2 linked regions of the Bombyx mori genome follow. The protein of the gene in region 1 binds, or shares a complex with, the protein of each later gene. Links are inferred from orthologs where the notes say so. Each region holds a gene or a part of one and is shown on either strand. Other genes may lie near its edges.

Region 1 (11,656 bases):
CTATGGGCTCCCGTAGCCACTTAACACCAAATGGACAAATTTCTATGAAATAAATAAATGAAAGATATTTTTTTCTTAACATATTATCTGGTTTAATATTATTTATGGCATTAAATAAGTAGGACAACGGTTACTCTTATGACTGTCTAGTTTCCATCTACAGCTTTAGTTTGCGTTATAAAGTGTAATTACTTTCTATCCTCTTATCTTCTATTATGGGGTGGAGATCCATATTCAACAGTAGTGTGAAAAGTATCCTATTATTTCCCAGGGTTCAAACCATTTCATTATTGAATTTAATAAAAATTCGGTGGTTTGGTCGTGAAAACGTAACAGACTAAAACAGTCGTAGTTTCATTGTTTGTTTATTGCTTAGACGAGTGAACGAGCTCACTAGATGTTCAGTGATTACCGGAGCCCAGACATGAACAACGCAAATTCCCCATCCACCAGGACACATGTTCTAAGTGTCATTTCCATAAAAAAGGGTCGCACCACCAACCATCAAAGCAAGAATAAAAGATAGTTAATTACCTATTAAATTAAATAACGTTTAGGTATCTTTTACTAAAAATGTGAATATTCTAAGTCTTCTGTGTTGTAAGTACTTAGAGTTTTAAAAATCCGTCTCGATATTTTACACTGTGAAGTCAATTTTAGATTTTTTTTCATTTGATCCTCAATGACATGTCTGGATTATAGGTAAGGTAAGGTTAAGGATTTTAGGTACCGTACGAGTAGATACCAGTAAGTTCCCATTTTGATCCGAGCAAAAGGTCACTTGTTTCAAAAACCAGATTCATTTGACTAATATTTAGGAAACAGCTTCGAAAAAAAAACTTAAAAAAATATGTCAAAATTGTAAGACTAACATACAAATAGATCTTTGCTCAGATAATATCATTTTCAAGTTTAAATTAAGTAATAAGCTTACTAACACATTCAAAGTAAATTGGTTAAGTTTGAAAGTGCATATTTAAAAAAGACAAATTATCAGATCACTGCAGCTTGCAACTTTTTATTAAAACTTTCGCTTAGCTACAAAAGAAATGGGTACCTACATTAAGTAAATTATTTTATGTAATCCGAGAAGGGGAACGCGAAGTTGTGTGAATTGTTTTATTTTGTCTATTTAGTGTTTCTTTAAGTTTAAATATGAAATAGAGGTGGTTTATGAAATGTTTAGTATTCGTGAAAGTGCACAAATGTGGAAGAATGAAAACAAGCCGCTTGACGTAGCTTCTCGGGATCTTCCAAAAAGTCCTCTGAAAAAGTCTCAGTAAATATATACAGTAAATATATAAATATTGACCATTTTACTGAGATTTTATATCTCATTACATCTAATCCCATTTAATTTCATTTCATGTCAATTGATTGTTTCAAATTAATCAAATTCATTTCATTTCGCTCTGTATCATTTTTCATAAAAAAGAATACACAAAAGATTAGACCGTATAGTATGATGCCTTTGCCTTTACAGTTGGAAAAACAGAATTATTTAATGTCATTTTCATCTGTGACCCCATCCAATCCCAAAGGTCATATGATCTTAGTAAACAAAATAGTTTTCGGTTCAAAATGATAAAATAATTTGTGAAGTTAAGTCGAAAAGTACAAAATTTTCATAAAACTATACATTATTAAATCAAAAACATAAAACTTAAAATTCGTAATTTTGGCTTTAAAGCTATGTTTATGTAAGAAATGTTTTAAAATTGTTAAAAATATAAATCGTGATTTTTTTATGAAACTCAATTACTCAACTCAAAAACTCAACATTAAAAATCAATGGATAGAAACCAACTTCGACTGGACCACCCCAGTGTCGCTATCACTGATGGAAATTATCGTACACTTTCGTATTAAGTTAGTTATGATTGTGCCCATTAACCTCGTCAGAGTTCGAATCTAGAATTTTCTAGATAGACCCATGTTTTATGTTCAATAATATTCAAATGTAAAGAAACACAAAAATTCATGGACAACTGTTGTTGAATTTGAATCAAGATTTTAACTTTATTTGTACTCTTTAAGAAAAGGTTGAATTGTTTCTTTACATTTTTGATCTCAATTTCCATCTTTAATTTAGGTAATGCAATAGTAATTATAATGATAATGATATTATAATATTAATGATAATAGTAATTTAGGTAATTTTCCTTTTTTTTCGTATTAATGAATCACATTTATATTACATTATACCTTAGCTCATTTAGTGCATGGGATTTTTTATTTTTTATGTACCATACAACTGTAAGCATTAAAAAAATTCTATAAAGTTCAGAATTGTAAAGAACTATTTTTAAAGTACACACAAATTACCAATACAGTGCCTACTGTGTTGTGTGAAATATATCTACAGACTTACCCAGTTTCAGTTTTATATTATAATATGAAACACGTCAAATCACAAACAATACTGAGTCAACATTTATATCACCATATTTGTAAATTGTAGAAAATTTGTCTTCAATTGACTCTAAATTTGGTAATTTTACTGTTAAAACCACAACACACCACTGACTTGTTGTTCCACTGTACATCCTTTTATAATCATTTTTTTGCAAATTAATGGACATACCAAAACATAAATTCACAATACTTTTTTTTTTGGAACACCTTAACATCACAAAACCACTAATGGATCAACTGCACTGGATATGTCACTTAATCACAAGGTTTAAAAAAACAACTTTCAAAATTAAAATAATCTATTTGTTTTGTTCACACACTACACATCACCTAAATCATACACTGAATATTATACACTTAACTTTAAAAAAGTAAGATAAACTTCTTTTAGTCGGATATCTAGCTGAACTAGCTTCTATACTGTACATTTTCATCAAAGTTAATTCTGATCACTGTGAGAACACAGCACTGCACAAATATTTAAACTTGCACATCTTATGCACCTCACATCACACACATCACAAGAATATAAAGTAAAAAGTGTAGAACAAAAAACTTAAATTAAGAGTATATACCTACAAATAACAATACAATATACTAAAGCAGTGTTTGAATAATTAAGCAGTGCCACCTCGTACTACTACTATAACTAGGTGATCTTCCTTAAAACTCTCTTCAGTTAAATTGTGACACGTTCTTTTGAGAAGGTCAGTTGAAAATTCACATGGAGGGAAAGAATAAAGAACTCCAGTAGCTTCAGTCTCTTTGTTCAAAAGTGATATCACACCTGCTGCTTCTTTTTGTTTAAGATATGATACCAAATTCCTCATTGGTCGTGTTTGTATCGAAACATCTTCATTGGTGACTACAGCAGTAGAACCAGACACACCCACAAAAATGGCATGAGAGCTAGATGTGGCAATACGTTTTTGAACATCATCTAACTTAGGTTGATCCAAACGTAATCTTTGTGTGATTCTGAGCTGTTTTCTACCATCTTCATCTTTCATGAGACTATCAATAATTTCAGAGTCACCGTCTGTTAAATGCAACTTAGTAGGAAACAATGAATTTTTGAGAATCAGTGCTCCATGCCAAATTGTAGTTGCTTTACGAACTAATTCTGCCATTGTTCGTGACGAAGATAGCATCCCACTACTTCTACGCATTGATCCATCAGAGTCACTATCAGGTGATCTACGACGAGATCGTGAGCGTGACCTATCGACTCCAGGCTCCCTTGATCCAGAACGACGCAAGCGACTCTCATATTCTGAATCTAATGGAGCACGTCTCCATTCTTCGTCACGATAATCTCCTGTACCATGATAGACACCTCTGTAGGAGCCACGTCCACGGCCACGATGCCCACCTCTACCCCTATAAGTACCATAGCTATAACCATCCTCCCAAGAACTACCTTCATATCCCTCATATCCTTCAACAGGCCTACCATCTTCACCAACAGGTGCACTGTAAGGTTTAGGTCTATAGGGTCCACCTGTTCCAACGTCTGCGAAATCAATACGCAAACGTCGCTCCGGTCCCCCTAAAGGAAAGCCCCGCATTTCTTTGACAGCAGCTTGGGCTGCATCAATAGAGTCATATAAAATATAGGCATGAGGTTCACCCTTCACATATTCAATCTTTTTAATGGCACCAAACCTATCAAATTCTCTCTCTAACTGTGCTACTGAAGTCCATGGTCCCAGGCCACCCACCCAGACACGTGTTGTGGGTGTAGCTTTGCCATAACCTATTTTACATTGAAATTTGCCAATGTATTGGCCTGATAATTCAACTTTGGCTCTGTGTGCCATGTCCAAAGTTTGATAACGAACAAATGCAAAAGCATTTCCAGTACCTGGAGGAGGTCTTTTAATGTCAATGTCCTCTACTATACCATAGCGTCCAAAAATTCGGCGTAACTCTTCATCAGAAATGTTTATTTCTAAATTACCAGCGAAAAGAGTTCTTGTAGCTAATGGATCATCTTCAGGTTGAACATGGTGTAGGTAATTTGGAAATTTATCTTTTTTGTTCTCAATTTTCTCAAATGGAGGATGGTGAGGCCGGGGCATGTATGGACGTGGCATATAATGGGGATGTGGAGGGTGATGCATAGGTGGTCTGTGATGCATTGGAGGCCCATGAGGACCTGCCATGGGATACTCATGCATAGGAGGGCGGAAATCTCTATGGTGAGGTGGCACTGTAGGAGGGATACCATAGGCTCTCTCATCAGGAGGGGGACGACGTCTCTCTGGTACAGGAGACCAAGCGTATGAATAAGGGCGATCATAGTCAGGAGGAGTTATACTACGAGGCCTCGGTCTGTACTCAGAACGTACAGGTTCATAAACAGGATCAACAATAGCAACTTTATCATACAGTATTATCCTAGGCTTGGCATGTTTAGCGTCTCTCGCATCCTCTGCACTTCGGAAGCAGATGTAGGCTACTCTCTCATCCAACTCATGGGATATTTTTATACTAAAGTCACCATACTTCTTATATTCTCTATACAAAGTATCCTTGACAATCTCATCCGACGCTTTAGGGTGTAAAGCACTAACACATAGTACTTTGTAGTAGCTGCGGACAGATTCATCTCGAGCATCACGAGAACGCACGTAATCATCGCGATGAGGTGACACATATCGACCGCGCGGGCTAGGGGAGCGTACTCGACGTCGTACTCGTTCCGGGCTTCCACGCTCGTCAGAGCTATCGTCATACCTACCAATACTGCTGCGTGTCCGTTTTGATCGCGGCATACTATCACGCGACGAACTTCGCTTCATATTGCGAATTTTCACCGTAATTCGATCTCTATCTCTATCGCTACGCGGTAATCCAATCATGAAAGCTCACTTCGACGAACTACTATCTGAAATACACATCACAATATTACACGTCACTGTAAATTAGTTTTGGTCGATACAATAAAGTAACCCACTGATGCACTATTCTTACCCCAAACGAATTACAAACACTAATCACTCAGCAGATCACTGAAAACCTCAATCTTGGACGAACTAATTCGTATTATTAAGTAGACAATTATTTTAAAATAATCACGTTCACTTCAACTTTATTTAATGTAAATTTGAAATTAGAAGCGCTGATAAGCATCAAGAATATCGACCATTACATGGGAATCTCACAAAATGGCAGTTTGGCTGAGGGTTGCCAAATGTGATTTCTGAATTTCTTGTACATATTTCCCCAAATTATTTTGCCGTTTCTTCTGAGTTGTATTATGTACGATAGGTACGCTGTTTCGGTTCTGTAACCAGCTTTACGGGTAGCGGATTTTGTCCGATAAGTGTTTTTTGGGTCTTCATCGAGTTGATCTTAAAACCAACTTTGGCGCTTCCAACTATATATCGTCCAGTTTGGATTGCATGCAGACAACTTCATGATTAAAAAAACATTAGTCATCAGCATGGTCTAGACCATCCAATTCTTTGGACAACCCCCACATAACAAGTCACATCCATGCTACTGTCGAAATTGCTATGATTTAATTAACTAATTGTTGTAATATGGACTGCTAAACTGAATACTTAATAGAGAAAATTACTGATCTGTATCCCAAGAGAAGTAAAGCTACCTATGATCTGGACTTTTTGGCGGGAACGCGAGAAGTGAAGTTGTGTGCTTTGTTTTATTTAATAGTGTTTCTTAGGTTTGAATGTGTAATAACGTGGTTTATTAACTATTTAGTATCTGTGAAAGTGCACAAATGGGAAAATGAAACAAAGCCACTGAACGTAACTTCTCGGGATCTTCCAAAAAGTTCACTGAAAAAGTCTCAGCAAATGACCCCTATTTTACTGAGATTATACTTCATTCCATATCATCTTATCTCATTTCATTTCATTTCGTTTTCATTTCATGCCATGTATAATAATAATCAACTTCATTTCATTTCATAATATCATTTTTCATTAAAAAAGCTGTCATTAAAATTAAAAAAAGACATGACCAAAAAGTCTTAGTTACCAGATCATAAAATCACTTTAAAAAAATGCTACCAGTGTAGTACCGTAAAATGGGGCGATTAGGGACAAATTCCAACTTTATGAGCAATTTTATGGTAGTTGTTGATGTATATAATGCTATATCAGGATCAAAATGATTGAGTCTTGGGGGCATCTTTGTTGTCTAATTTAAAATTATGCAACTAGCATTCCAGTTTAAGCAAAAAATGCAAAAATAGGTCTAATCCCTATTTACCCGAAAATTGCGGTTAATTGGGACGAAATGAGAAATTTGCTAGGGTTGGCACTACTTTTATTTTTATATATAGTTTTAATTTATTTATTTATTTAGTTGCACCAACAAAGTGATCAATAAAAAAAATTGAAAAACTGACAAAAGTACATGGCAGACATCACCTCAATTATAGGTGCAATCGACAGTGCTGATATTTCTATCTGGGTTAAGAGATTAGGTGTGTCGGTTATTCCATGGATTAATCAGATGAATACCCCCACTCTGAACAAATATTAAATATTTTATTATGTATTACTTAGACATTTTTGTCCACCTTGAGATTTCATTGATCTTGTTACATGTCTCTGCAAAATCGACTTACTTATATTAAATTGCTTATCTATTTCAACTAAAGATTTATTCCCAATTTCGCTTCGATAAACCAGATTTTTACCAACAAATTTAAAAAATATTGTTATAACTACATAGACAACCCTACAAATCTGTACCTATTTATACTTAGGTCGTTTCCATTTCACGTATTCTCATCCCAATTGACCTCTTTTTCGTTGTTATTTGTACCTAAGACGTCCCCAATATCCCCAAAAACAACAGATTTTTACATGTATTTTTATTTAATCAAATACATTAAAACCAATAACAACTGAGACTTACCTTTAATATATATGCTGGTTCAAACACTAAATAACGTTTATAAATCATAGTCGTCTTCTATTATTATCAAATAAATAAAAGAGAGCAAAGTTTCTAGCACTAAAATAATTACCACCACAGGAAGTTAATTTGAAACGCGATTTTTTATAAGTTAGCAGCTATTATCATGCATATTCAGAGTTGTTTTGTGAACTTTCAACATTCTACTATTAAACTACAAAAAAATGGAAGATTTTGCAACGAATATAAAACTTATATTGAGCGTCGAAAGATTTTCCCGGTTTTTTCCCGATTCGCCTTTCAATCCCTAATCGCCCCATTTTACCGGTACTTTTTGGCGGGAACGCGAGGAGTGAAGTTGTGTGAATAGTTTTATTTTGTCTATTTAGTGTTTCTGCAGGTTTAAATGTGTAATAACGGTGGTTTATTAACTGTTTAATATCTGTGAAAGTGCACAAATGTGGGAAAGTGGAACAAAGCCGCTGGACGTAACTTGTCGGGATCCTCCAAAAAGTCCTCTGAAAAAATCTCACTAAATGACCATCATTTTACTGAGATTGTAATTCATCTCTTATCATCTCATCTCATTTCATTTAATTTCATCCCAGTTGATTAATGTCTCAAATTAATCCTCTTCGTTTCATTTCATTTCACTCCATTTTATCATTTTTCATAAAAATAAGAATTTATTAAATTAAAATAAGAAACGACCTAAAAGTCTTAGTTACCGGGTCATAAAATCCCTTAAAAAAGCTACCAGTGTATGTAGATAAACATTCTATTTTTTTGCTAAGTAAGTAAGACTGTAAGTAAGTTGTAAGACTTAAGTAATCTTAAAGGCATATGCCATTTATATTAAGTAATGAAAACGCAACTCTATGTTACAGTTTCCAAAAAACGATCCACATTAACATACGAGCAAGTTACTACAAGTATGTACTAAGAACGCTCTTGGCGTAGCGTTTACATTTTATTTGCGTTTCACTTGATTTGACCCTACTCCACAAAGTCCATGACGAAATCGCAATGGATATAATTATAAAAGTAAATAATCAATCCATTGGAAGAGACAAATTGGCAAGGTAAACTTCATAGACAGAAGAGGTTTATTTATACAAACTGGCTTTTATTAATCTCTACTCTACTAATAATAGATTTATTTGTCTTGTCTAGATTTATTCAATATATTAGCAAGCTTGTATGGCATCAATTGGAGACCAGGAATGCTAATAAATACTCCATAGATAGAATAAAAAATTTGGAAAATGCATTTAGTTCATTTAGAAAGAGTAAGTAAATACTATTTGTACCATTCGTAAGACTTACAATCCAACTACAAACGAACACTGGGATGTTATTATTTTATTTATTAGAGCATAATACAAAATACTATTGACCGGTAAACAATATTACACAATTCTTGGAACCTTAAAGAACAATTTGGGTACTTTAAATTTGAGAAATTGTTTTGAGTTGATCCGGTGATCTCCATGATACCATCATACCCCTACCAAACTCATTTCTACTTCTCGGAACAACTGTGTGCCCGCTTTCTAGAAAAATATATTTTATTAGGTCAAATCGATCTGGAATAAACTTTCCTATATGATGTTTAAGGACATGCTCTTCTTCAAATTTAGTTTGAAAAACATCACTGTAGGCATCCACTTGGCTGTGACCCTGGCATTGCTGATGTTCATGAGTGATGGTGTCTAATCACCATCAGTTCACCCTTGTGTCACTTACCTTAAAGTTATTAAAAAAAAATATGAAAATTTATTAAACCAAAGGGAAATGGGGTGACTGAAATCAGCACTGTTTGATGCATTCATTTTGAACAGCATTAGCTGAACCACCTCCTTTTGTCTTTTTCTTTTCTTTTATTTATCTACTTTTATTAGTCTTAAATCTGTGTGAAAGGCAATAAATGCTTTTATTATTATTATTAAATGTTAAAATGTGGATATAATAACTTTTCAGTTCTGAGGTTGGGCAGATGCATAGACGTTTGCTACATTGCTTTAGACAGCATGAGCATAGAAGATCCATTTTTAAGATTAACAATAACAGTTAGCAAGTTATCACATAGTTTATTTTTGTATGCAGACCACATAGTATGGTTGGCCAAAAGTGGATTTCTAAAAACAGACTCAGACACTTGGAATCAAACTGCAAATAAATTCTGGTTACTGTCTATTATTGCAAATTTAGCACGAGACTTTTATGAAATACTCCATTTGTTACAACTACACAATTCAAAATTTCTAAGGCCTTCTGATTTATTAAATCTATCAGTACATAAATTTGATCTAATGTCTACTTTGAAACACATTCATGTGTTATTACTTTGTCATAGAGATATATTTGTTGATACATTGAAGAATGCATGTGACTTGTTCATACCCTTAACAGCTCTTGGGTTTATAAAATTGAGTCCAAGTGCGATTGGCACTTTAGGTGCTATCTCTTCCATTGCTGCTTTGATAACTCTAGTTCAACCTATATCTAAATTGGTACCATCATAATGGCATAAAATAAGTGACAAATTACAGATTTAACTGTATTGTTTGTTAAATTTTTGAATGAACAAAATCAAGTCTTGTCACGATGTTTCAGTGAACATGAGAAATGCTATAAAATACAATATCATATATATGATTCATCATCATTCACGAATAAATTAGTTACATAATAATAATAATTTTAATGCACTGAGTGTTTACCATGAGTAGATACTCTGACATCCATTTGGCGAATTCTTTGATCAGTGATACACAACTTTTTTATTGCAGTACACTTAACTATTTCCAAATTTGCCATAATTCAAATATAATAAAGGTTTAAAAGTTGTATTCTGACTACTTTCTCAAATAGTGATAATAATTTTGAATGAAAAATAAAAAGTACAAAATAATATATGTATGGGGATTTATTCAAAGTTATTAATAGAAATTATTTTTGTTGAGGAATACATGATGCATACAGTGGATGAGAATCAGTTTTTAATTGTTGAAGTATATAAAGTTTTTTCATTCTCAATTTTGCAAGCAAAATTAAATGTGTAAAAAATATTTTTGCTGTCTTACAGTATACATATTTCCATGTAATAATTTTAATCATATATAAGGCTGTAGTGAGTGACTTTGTGAATACTGGTATTGGTGTAGGAAAATTATATTTTATTTTGTACATAAGGTACTAAAGGGATTTAAAAAATATATAAATTATTTACATTAAAGTTTTTGATTTTGTAATTTTCATTAATGTTGTATTCTACCTGAACGAGTACTGTTGAGTTAGGTAATGACTTCACTAGATTGATTTTGGTTCTGCAGCATACTTGATGCTAAGTTGTGGCTAGAGCCTGTATACCTACACTACAAGATCAAAAGCGCAAACCACCTGGAGATATGAATTTGGAGGCTCAATTGTATTCTATAGTAGCATACTTCACGCTCATGCATAACGGGTTCACGGCAAAAGCATGCAGAATGGTTGTACCTATCAGTGCCAGCTTACAATACGCTCCACCACTTGCAAATAATACAATAGAATCGTTGATTATCAATGAATAGCGTGTTTGTCCAAATTTTACTTGAAAGCTTATTCATAAGTTAAGTACTGAAAGTGCTGAAACCTGCTCGAGTGGGCTTACTATACGACCAATCTACTAGACATACATTTACAATTATAAATAAACATATGCTGGACTACCTAGCCAATCAGCATCCAATAAGCTAAATATGATTTATATTTTTTTATAGTAGAAGTAGTGTTTGTCGTATTTATCTCTCAAATCCAAAATTAAATCTATTGTGGCGGGTAGCCATCATACAACGCAAGATAATTGATAGATGCCTGAATCTCGCTTACGACATTTTCAAGATAAAGCGCATATATACAAGTTCCGAACAACAACATTCGGACCGTCGGTCTACCGAGCAATATCATCCGCTCGGTGGAAGATCTTCCCTAAACTATTATAAAAATGAATTGCTGTTCGTTAGTCTCGCTAAAACTCGAGAACGGCTGGACCGATTTGGCTAATTTTGGTATTGAATTATTTGTGGAAGTCCAGAGGAGGTTTAAAAGGTAGATAAATATGAAAATGCTCGGAATTAAATAAAAATAACAATATTGTTTTCCCTTTGATGTCCCTCGTCGGACGGATTCATTTGGTTGGTTTATGTTTATTTTATACAAAATTTGAGGTCTTTTATTTATCGACTAGCGACCCGCCCTCGCTTCGCTTCGGAAACATTAAAAACACACTTGAAACAAAAAAATAAATAAAAAAAAGTAGCCTATGTTCATCAGGGACAATGTCGGCTTCTAATGGAAAAAT
Region 2 (10,913 bases), on another chromosome or scaffold:
TTGTTTGGTTGCCTAGCAACGGTACTACCAGCGCGCCTCGTCGCGGCTAGTGATGCGGCACCACTCATCAAAGTTGTAGCTTTAAATATTGTTGTTTGCCTTATAAAAAAATGTGATCTTATGACGATTATACCTAAAGGATGTCACTGCACGGTTCGGACGCAGAATTTGTACTAAATTACGTATTTGTTTCGCGTTTCGAACGATTGATTTACAAATAGAAAGCGATAAGATCGCGTCGAAATTCACAAAAAGTTCCCCTTGAAGCAATGATCGAATAGCTGAGATGCCGCGGCGTTTCACTATCGACCTTAAGGGCCTCAAGATCCTCAAGTATTGAAATGAGAAATTAAGGCGTGATTGAGTCCTGTATTTGTAAATTAACTTACATAATGTACGTTATTTACATTCTCCATTGTCAACTTAGCGCAACTAACTGTCTGTTCACAGCCTCACATCTTTTGACAAGCTCTGTGTCCCCGGCGAGTATGAAAAAAAAAATGCCTTGTATAATGATAGCAAAGTGAATTATGTAATATATTAAGGATTACATTATCAATGTGCGATGTTATAAGCTCAGTGAAGATTTGAAAGAAAAGAAAAAAAACTGCTGTCAATTGAATATCCGATACGCGAAAGGGCTTTAGTAGTCGATAGTTCGCTTGATGTCTTGACGTTGCCACATCTCTATTTGTCGATATTTTTAAATAATTTTTTTGTTGGTGTTGTTTTGATGAAATATGATGTTGCACGTGCTAGTTAATGTTGCCAATATGATGCGATGAACATTTTTATCGATGGTTTTGGTAGCATTTAATTTTTAACGAATTAACGCACGACTTCAGTAAAGCCCTCTCCGCAATAATGTTTTTAGATTGAATAATAAGATTCTGATGTTCTTAGTTCCGCAATTAATAAAATGTAAATTTTTCTTATTAGTAAGTAAAAGATCTCATATGTCTTATTTTTTGTTTTGTCTTTTTTATATTTTGAGGAACTTCGGAATAGTCGAGTTGATTTAAAGACAACAATGTAAAATATATTGATGTATATAATTTGTTTGTTTTATTTACAATTCCTCTTAACTATTATTCAAAAATATTTTCACCTTTTACGTAGGTAAATTAAGTCGCGGGTAAAATTTTGCGTTATCCCAAAGGCTCCAAAACTATTCCATGCGAACGAAGTCGCGGGCAAAAGCTTAGTTGTCGTATATACAGTAATTTTTTAAAAGTATCCAGTCGATGGTAAGCAAATTGAAATAGAGGAGAAATAGAAATGTAGCTTACTAAAATTTTTAATCAAAATTGTTGAAATTATTATTTTTACCAGAATTACTAGTCTATGTATATACAGTCAATTAATTTCAGCTACGGTCTTTTGATAAAATCTAGAATATATTTTCTAATACCAAGAATGAGTCCATCCCCCGAAATTCTTTTCTAATAAATCGAGAGAATAAAACAGTGTCTTTAGATGTTTAGAGGCGACTGCATGGAATTGGCTGAAAAAAATTGCCCAACATCAATTTTTATTCAAGAATAAATTTTACGAACATGAAATTAGCGAAAGCTATTAGTGTGTTTTGTAAAATCGTAATACCTACTAAGGTACAAAATTAAGTGTACCTACATAAAGTTAAACTATTAAAAATACATTTTATTGATTTCTATCGGTGTAAATACATCGCATTTATTTTACAGGTTATCAAAAATCTGTGTTATCCGGTCGGTTTTGTACTGAAAAAATACATTATTATTGTGAATATGGTATTTTGTAGAAGCTTTGTGTAAAATATCATAGGTATATCTTTTATTTTCATAGTGAATTCTATACAGTTTTAAAAATACATCAGCTCTAGTGTTTAATAGGATATGGTTGGAGGATTGTTTTAACGCTTAATCATATCAACACTTACCTATTTCTACCACAGCGGGTCGACGACGGTAAACGACAAGTATTACTACGTAATTAAATAGCAATAAACAAAACAAAACGAAAAAAGTAGATTAATAACTGTTTTGAATTTATGTTTAGGACTGAGAAAAGGATAAGTTTTAGGACTTACTCCGTAGTTCGTTGATGGAATTTTCTATTTTCTCACTGGCGAGACTTATATGTGCTGATTGATAAACAAAAAACACAATTTTATCGTTTTTGCACCGGCGCCATGTTTTTAGGATTTTTTTTCACACACTTCGCGCCGTTTTTCACAGTCGTAGTTCTTTTTATAGTGTCAACAGATGGCGTGGATAGCAGATCGAGGAAGAAATAAGGAAACGGAAGTCCCAACAATAACTAGATTAATTATTATTGGTAAGAAAAAGTCTAGAAGTCAAATGTGCAAAAGCATTAATGATGATACGTGCATTTCAATGCAAAAGTTCAAAATGAGTCATTTGAGACGTTGTGGCGTGTTTAGTGTTAAAAAAAACCAAAGACGCGGGAACGAAACAGCAGTTTAAATTCTAATCTAAAACAGTGGAAGCCGCTTTGCAATACTACACGCTGATAACTTCTGTCTTTTTTAATTACAATTTTAACGGAGTCTAGGTTAAGAAGTTACTAGTTTGAGGATCAAGAGTTTGTCGTAGGCAGATAATGAAAAAAAACAATTATTAAATTATTTATTTTTTATTTCATTATTATTTAAAATAATACGTAAATGTTTACATTAGATGAATATTTTCATAAATTTCTAAGTCTTGAAATATAAAACGGATGTCAGATACAATAAAAATGTGAAATAAATGTCTTTTAAAGAACATTTGATTTTACATATTATTGTGTATCAAAAAGGTGGTAGCTACAGCACCCGAACTTGTCAGATTTTAATTTCCTCATATCTTACATTAATCATTATTATATTCATGGTATGATGAGTTTTATAAAATTCTAATTTTTTTATTTCCCTCTGAATTTTTCAAGAGTCCAATTTAACTTAATGTTTACAATGTCATGCTTGAAATGGTATCCAAGTAACCTCACATTTTTTCTCATAACGAAATCGTTGGTAAATTTGTGAATTAGATACCTACATGACCAGTAACTGATATCTATTAATCCGATATCTGTAGAAGAGGCTCTTATAACAATATTACACTTGCGCATCAATTCACAAAAAAAAACAAGATGTCAACTTCAGGTTGTTCGTCAGTGCTCCGGTACATAGCATTAACCGCGATTTATTTTTATCGAATCAATAAATAAGGCAGACTAACAATACGTAAGATGTTGCCACAATAATAAACACAATATTTCACCGGACAACTCTCATTACAGATTAAACATTCCTAATATTTCATCGGACAACTCTCATTAGAGATTAAATACAGACACATATGACATGAAAAAAGTTACAATTATTGAACTATATTTAGTGATTTAAAATACTAATTGATTAGGACATGGCCTAGGTCTGACGACTAACCGTAAACCGTCCCACAACCACGTCCGAGGGTTTTGGTCGAGGATGAGTATTGCCTGCAGAATCAGTCCAGCCATTCTTAATTTCCAGCAATTCTTCTTTTTTTTGTGAAAGGGGAACCTTTACACACTATTTTAAATTTATATGCATGCCGTCGCGGCGACAGCAGCTTCGCGTAGCAAGCTTAGTTTTTTGCCGCACTAAAAGCACAGATTATACGTCTAAAAGACAGGCAGGTGGCGGCGCTAGTGTCGTGTCGAGGAACCATTTCCCAGGGAAATGATGCATTCCGATCCACACAATAATATGTCGCAGATCCAGTACAAAATAAATAAGAATTTAATAATGCATATAAATCAAATTGTGTCGTATTACGTACTCACAGAAAAAAAAAGAAATTATTCACAATAAAATAATAATAATTATATAAATAGGTATATGAGTCGTCTATTATCAAAGGTGGCAATCTGTGCATTTGGACAAAAAAATGTTATTGATATGTCAATACAGATTGATTTGAATAAAATGGTCTCCTTCAAAGAATACGGTTCAAAACCTGCATTAAATAAAGGTTAATAGTTAACCTGTTATTTATCTAAGATGTCGTTCCGAAGAGTTTTGTGACTGCCAATGGAATACAAAGTCAATAATTCGTTTTTCTGATTTACCAATAATTGTCTAAAAGTCAGATTGCCGGCTTTGATAATAGTCGACTAATATGTATTGTAGAAGAAGCTGTTACGGGACGGAACACCAACCAATATTTTATATAAACGATTGATGGAGTGATCGTATTGTATATAAAACATTATTAAAACCCGTTGTTTTTCTCAACATTCTATTACTTAATGTCTGTGTGAGTAGGAAGTTTTACATGCGAGATTACAAGTGAAACCTCTAGGTTTTAATCGATTCACAATCTAGATTAGTTAGATAGCCCCTCTGCCCCTCCCCCTGCCCCTAAACCCGCCCCTGCCCCTGGCCCGGGTGCCCTTGCTGGTGTTGGGGGGGCTCTTGGGCCTGAGGGCCTCGATCCTGTCGGTGCAGCCGGTGCTCTCGCGGCCCTCGGCGAAGTACGACGAGTACAGCTCCGCGTTGAAGTTGGAGTTGGTGAGCTCGTGGCCGATCGTCACCCAGCCCGGACGGATCGTGGAGTCCTTGCCGAACAGGTGTACCCTGAGAATGTGTACATATAGATGTGTAGCGGGCTTAGCTTAGACAGTCTGTGTCGAGTCGTCGCACAACAGACAGGTTGCAAACTGTCGTGTCTTGTTAATAATTATCACCCTATAATCACGTCTCAGCCACGTCGTCAGCAATCAGCTGATAATGTCAGGGTTACCCTAGCAGGTAGGTGAGCTCACGGGGCTCAAACCGGGGGTGTTGCTAACACTGGCCCTAGCAAGAGCAGTACTTCGCAGAATCTACCACCGGATCGGAAACGCGACCCACTGAGAATATCCGGCGAGATACTCAGTGGGCTAAACAAACATGTGAGCTACATATTTGATGCAAAATGTTTTCCAACGTCACTAATAGTCATTAATAGTTAAAATTACTTGTTGTCGTTAGTATACATATTATTAGCGACGTTTCAAATGCCTTAGTTTTCGTGGTCGCAGACGACGGAGCTGACGTGACGCGAAAACCAAAGAACATGCTATTTAAGCTCTTATTGATGTATGAGTATTTTATATTAAAGTAATACTGATCAACATTTACCTTCTTCGACCCAAACAGAAATGTTCCATGATGTGAAATATCTCAATAGGCTTCTCTGTACTGCCGAACTCCGGGTCTTCAGATATGATGAGGTCGATATCCACGTTAGCGTGTATGAAGTCTCCGTCGACCGACCTCCGGACAGTGCCTTTGATGCCCATCAGACAATGCTCCTTGGTTCGCTGGAAGACCGCGTTGTGCTCGAGGTTTTTCGAATGCCCCGGATTCTTTATGTTCGTTTTGATCCAGCAGATGTCTTCGCAACGACGAAAGCCCCACTTCTTTAGGCATTCCCTGCCCATATCTAAACCTGAATTAAGATTTGGTATTAGCTGAATTACTGATCTTTTAGATTAAAGTAAAGTCATTTAGCGGCTTGTCTCTGCCCCTGGCATTGCTGAAGTCTATGGGCGACGGTAACCACTACCCATCAGGTCATAACCATCAGAGCCGTATGCTCTTCTGCCTACAAAGGCAATAAAAAAAAAATTATAATGTTACAAATTTTAATTGCCTTTGCAGGTATACAAGCGTACGGCACACTGGAGATGTATGATCACCATCACTTGTGGAGATCAGTAATACTAAGGGCAGAGCCTGGCCGCTCCTTACCACTGTTTGGTGCATTGTTTGGCAGAGAAATAATTGATGTCCCACCCAAAGAGTGAATTATCTTGTAGAAATCTTTAAGAAACTTTAAAAATGTTATACTTTCAAATTCATTACAGTTTATGTGGATAACTTTTGTAAAATGAATAAGTAAAATTAAAAGTGAGTTATGTTTTCACCATGTGCATGTATTTATTTATTTATTTATTACACTTCATGTAAAATTTACATTGGCGGACCTAATGCCTAAGGCATTCTGACTCTACCAGTCAACCAAAGGTGGTGCAGAGTAAATAGTGATATGTGCAATGAAATTTATATTGAGTTACAAATACATACACATATACATACACACATAGATACAAATATTAATATACATATATATACATACATACATACATACATACAATAGTTTATACAGTATTCAATGTGTAGTATGTACTAGTTATACAAATCACAACCAAATAATTTTCTAGGTTTGAAGAATATACCTTCAGAGCTTCCACACCATAGGAATACAAAAGATCTTGGCTGTGCTATCTGCTGGAGCTCAAGAGCTAAGACATCTTCCCATCTCCATCCAGTGCCCAGAGGAGGTTCCACGAGAATTACATCGAATTTGTTAGCCATGTCTTTTAGATCAAAAGTCTGAAATAATGGTTTTGATTTTTTTAATTTCCTATTGTTTTTTTTTTTGTTTTAAGTACTGTAGGCTTAGTGCGAGTTTCAAAAATCGAATCGAATGACTCGCATCGAGTGTACGCTCTTCACGGTGAAACGTGCGGAGCTCTGAGTGCGAGTTACTTGATTTGCAGGACGTTTATTCATCTTGAGAAGCGATAATTTTTTCTTTTATATTGGTAGCACGCAAGGGTTTTTTTAAGGCGTTTAATTGAAATGCCAAGCTTTCTAACGATATTTATAATTATTCGGGTAATGGGTAATGTACCTGTGCTTAGTGCGAGTTTTTTTAATTACTCAGTCGATGTTAATGATATGTTTAATTTGTGTGAGGTTGTATCAGTGCCACCTAGTGGTAAGCTTATGAATCTCATTTTGTGGGAGAGAGAAGGTTTGTTAATGTTGCTGTCTCATGTATCGAATAGCTTTACCCAAGTGAGCCTCTCGATTATTGTATGTGCGAGTGCGAGTTGCAAATTAATGGATTTTGAGAGTATTTCTTCACTTTCAAGCAAGTTAAGTAGTCACTAAAATTTTTGCCGTGAAACCAATACAATATCAAGATTTTTTCTTTCGTTTTTAATAATAATGTTGTTTTTAAGGTTTTATCTATTCTAATGGTTTATACACATATATTTTTTCGGTTAGAAAATTTTATAGACGTCTAGCTAGCTGTAAATACATATTAATTCTTTGCTTTTTCATTTAATTCTTATTAAATCATTGCTTTTTTTTAAAGAGTTGTTTGATGAGAGAGAGAGAGTGAGATAGAGTTGTTTTTTTTTTATTGCTTAGATGGATGGACGAGCTCACAGCCCACCTGATGATAAGTGGTTACTGGAGCCCATAGACATCTACAACGTAAATGCGCCACCCACCTCGAGATATAAGTTCTAAGGTCTCAGTATAGTTACAACGGCTACCCCACCCTTCGAACCGAAACGCATTACTGCTTCACGGCGGAAATAGGCGGGGTGGTGGTACCTACCCGTGTGGACTCCCAAGAGGTCCTACCACCAGTGAAAGAGTATTCTTTATTGTACACAAAATGAATAAATATTGTGAAACATTCTTTCTTGGTCTTATCGCTAAGAGTGATCTCTTCCAGACAACCATTAGATGGGCAACAATAATTTCGAAATGAATTGCACACTGTGTACCTATCTATTATAGAAATATATACACACACGCACATACACACGCGCACACACACACGCGCACACACACACACACACACGCGCGCGCCATATACATATTTACAGGTACATACGTACAGATTTATATTTATAAATTATATAGAAATTTGAACAATGTAATAATCATTTTGCTTCTTTACACATTTATAAATAAGGATGGATGCTCGTAATAATTTTAGTATATTTAGGCTACCTAATGAAGATCATCAACACTATTACCGTAAATACAATCATTTTATAAACGTTCAACGGGTAAATGATTAAACCTATGTAAAACATAATTTCTTAATTAAAAAAATCCGAAATAATTACCTATTTCAAGATTAATTATGTTAAGTATGTCTAAATATGTAATTACAATTAAATAAATTCTATAATAAACTTCTAATTCTAATACTTCTATTAAAGTTACTAAAAAAATATTTTTATGCTGGGCAGTTTTCGTGTATTTTAAAGGTTACGCCATTACGGCAAAGTTTGTTTACGAAATTGCACCCTTAGAATGGAAGTGGTTTAACTAAAAAATTTAAGATTAGTTTTATATTTCAAAACACTTATGTATTATTATTAAGAACCTACATTTTAAGTAGGTAATACGTGAAGCAAAAATGTTGTACTCCTTTTTACGAAAATTGCGCGGACGAAGAAGTATGAAATTTCCCACACTTATAGAGAATATAGAGAAGTAGTGCAGATTGCTAATATTTTTTTTTTTAATTGTGCATAAACAATAAAAAAATAAACTAAATGAATAAAAAAACCTTACACACATTACCATGTATTTGACATACACACACACACATGCATTTATACTTTTTTTGTTTATTGATTTATCAATCTGTGGTCAAATTGAGAATAGATTTTTTGTCTTTAATATTATTTTTCTATAATGTAGCCTTGGCGACATATAGCAATGATTATTATAGAAATGATGATAGTAGAAAGGTGACAATAGAACTATAATAATGTTCAAACTTAAAATTTAAATAAATTATGGTCAAATTTCGACCACTGGACTACCATTAGTAGATAATAATAAAATCATTTATTGCCTTTCACACAGATTCAGATTATTACAGGCAGCCTACAAGGAAACAACAAAAAAACAAAACACTATTATATCATTTCTAGCAAGCAGCTCAACATTTGCACTTGTATATTATTAATAAGAATTTTATTAAGAATATTGACAATTTATGAGGAATTTGACAAGTACGGATTAGTTATAGATATATGTAGTTACATATTGTAAATTAAATTAGTTTTATAAGTGCAATAAAAAATAATTTAAATGATAAAATGATAAAGCCATACCTTTTTCCAATGTGACGATTAGAGGGTATCCTATTATTCTTTTCTATATTATTCTATCAGCTTATAAAATTAAACAGTCTCTTTTAGTCTAGAAAAGGACAAAGTACTCTTTCTGTCTTTTTCAAATAAAATGGCATGCCTTAAAGTGTTTAAACCGAAAAACTAAAAAAATACAATTATTGTATTACAATATTGAAGTTTACCAGAAACTAAGAATTTTGGGTTGAGCCACTTTAATTCTAAAGGTACAAAATAGTATTGAACACGTGACATTACCCGAATAATTTTGAAAGTAGTTGGTTCCCATTAAAATGCTGTTAAAATGCGTTGTATTTCATTTAGACGGTCTAATGCCAAAACATCACGTGCTACCAATATACGAGCAATAATATTATTGCTGCTCTCGGTGAATAAACGCCCTGCGAAGCGAGTAGCATATCTCAACTCACACTCACAATTCTTCATTTTTCACCGTATAGAACGTAAACTCGATTTGATTTTGATTTATTCATTTACAATTGAACAACTAGGAAAAAAAGATGAAAAGACATTTTGGAGGGACCGCGAGGAGCTAAATTGTGTGAATTGTTTTATTTTGTCTATTTAATGTTTCTTAGTTTATGCGTATTTAATATTTCTTCGTGTATAAGTGTAATTTTGAGACCGTCCTGGCCTAAAGGTTAAGGCGTCCGGTGTATTCGTATCTTGCAATGCACCGGTGTTCTAATCCCGCCGGCGGGTATCAATTTTTCTAATGAAATACGTACTTATCAAATGTTTACGATTGACTTTCACTGTAAAGGAATAGCATCATGTAATAAAAATCAAACCCGCAAAATTAATTTGCGTAATTACTGGTGGTAGGACGTCTTGTGAGTCCGCACGGGTAAGTATCACCACCCTGCCTATTTTTGCCGTGAAGCAGTAATGCGTTTCGGTTTGAAGGGTGGGACAACCGTTGTAACTATACTGAGACCTTAGAACTAATATCTCAAGGTGGGAGGCGGCATTTGCGTTGTAGATGTCTATGGGCTCCGGTAACCACTTAAGATTAGGTGGGCCGGGAGCTCGTCCACCCATCTATGCAATAACAAAGTAACGTGGGTTTATTAACTGTATAGTATCTGTGAAAGAGCAAAAATTTTAAAAAAATTAACAAAACCGCTGGACGTAGCTTCTCGAAGTCTTCGAAAAGGTCCACTGAAAAAAATCTCAGTATATAATCAGCATTTTGCAGAGATTATATTTTATCCCATATTATCTGATCTCATTTCATTTCATTCCATGCCAATTGATTAATGCTTCAAATTAATCAAATCCATTTCACTCCATATTATCATTTTTCATAAAAAAGATTAGGCTTTATGGCATGATACTTTTGCCTCATTAGTTGGAAAAATAGAACTACTAAAGAAATACTCGATCGAAACGTTAAAACCCACTAATTTGTAACACGCACTCGCACAAATGTCATTCGTGGTACTAATTTCGATAAAATTACTCGGTTACGAGATCACAACGTTAATATGAACTCGCACTCACAAAATAACACCGGGTACGTTTGCCGCTAGGGGCGCTGTTCCAATTGCATACAAATTTGAGCAAACTGGCTCGCTATCGAGAGCGTTACAAAACTCGCACTAAGCACACTGATGGTTTTCATCAAAGCTTTTCTTACTTATTTGACCTAAAATGTGAATCAAATAAGATGAGTTAAATATTACCGCATTAAATATTATTACCGCACAAATTCTGTACACAAAGTAATTTGGACGATACATAATTATATCACCATTTTATCACTACACCACTAGTCACCTTTGTGTTTTCTACAGCATTGTGTATGAAGATTATATATAAGGATTATGTTCAAATCCCTTTTCTGTAAAACACTGTAAGTAGTAACTTTGCTGTGGCCTATACATTAGCAATGTCTATAAGTGAGTAAACATTTTACATTAAGC

What was found. The genes of interacting proteins can lie anywhere in the genome.
Region 2: RNA-binding protein spenito (region 1) and N6-adenosine-methyltransferase non-catalytic subunit share a complex: the UniProt entries of both Drosophila melanogaster proteins name them as parts of the WMM complex. The link is inferred for Bombyx mori from reciprocal best matches to the Drosophila melanogaster genes nito and Mettl14.

Annotation. Positions count from the first base shown.
Region 1 is NC_085125.1:10,169,394-10,181,049, reverse strand, and holds the start of RNA-binding protein spenito, read right to left. Parts: upstream 5,280-11,656; coding exon 3,033-5,279; 3' UTR 1-3,032. Other genes in the region: peroxisomal membrane protein 11B, read left to right, coding at 8,338-8,393, 8,485-8,600, 9,292-9,836. UniProt on the Drosophila melanogaster protein: RNA-binding protein that acts as an associated component of the WMM complex, a complex that mediates N6-methyladenosine (m6A) methylation of mRNAs. M6a modification plays a role in the efficiency of mRNA splicing and is required for sex determination.
Region 2 is NC_085109.1:13,098,353-13,109,265, forward strand, and holds the end of N6-adenosine-methyltransferase non-catalytic subunit, read right to left. Parts: intron 6,407-10,913; coding exon 6,250-6,406; intron 5,460-6,249; coding exon 5,150-5,459; intron 4,604-5,149; coding exon 4,357-4,603; 3' UTR 2,616-4,356; downstream 1-2,615. UniProt on the Drosophila melanogaster protein: Non-catalytic component of the WMM complex, a complex that mediates N6-methyladenosine (m6A) methylation of mRNAs, a modification that plays a role in the efficiency of mRNA splicing and is required for sex determination.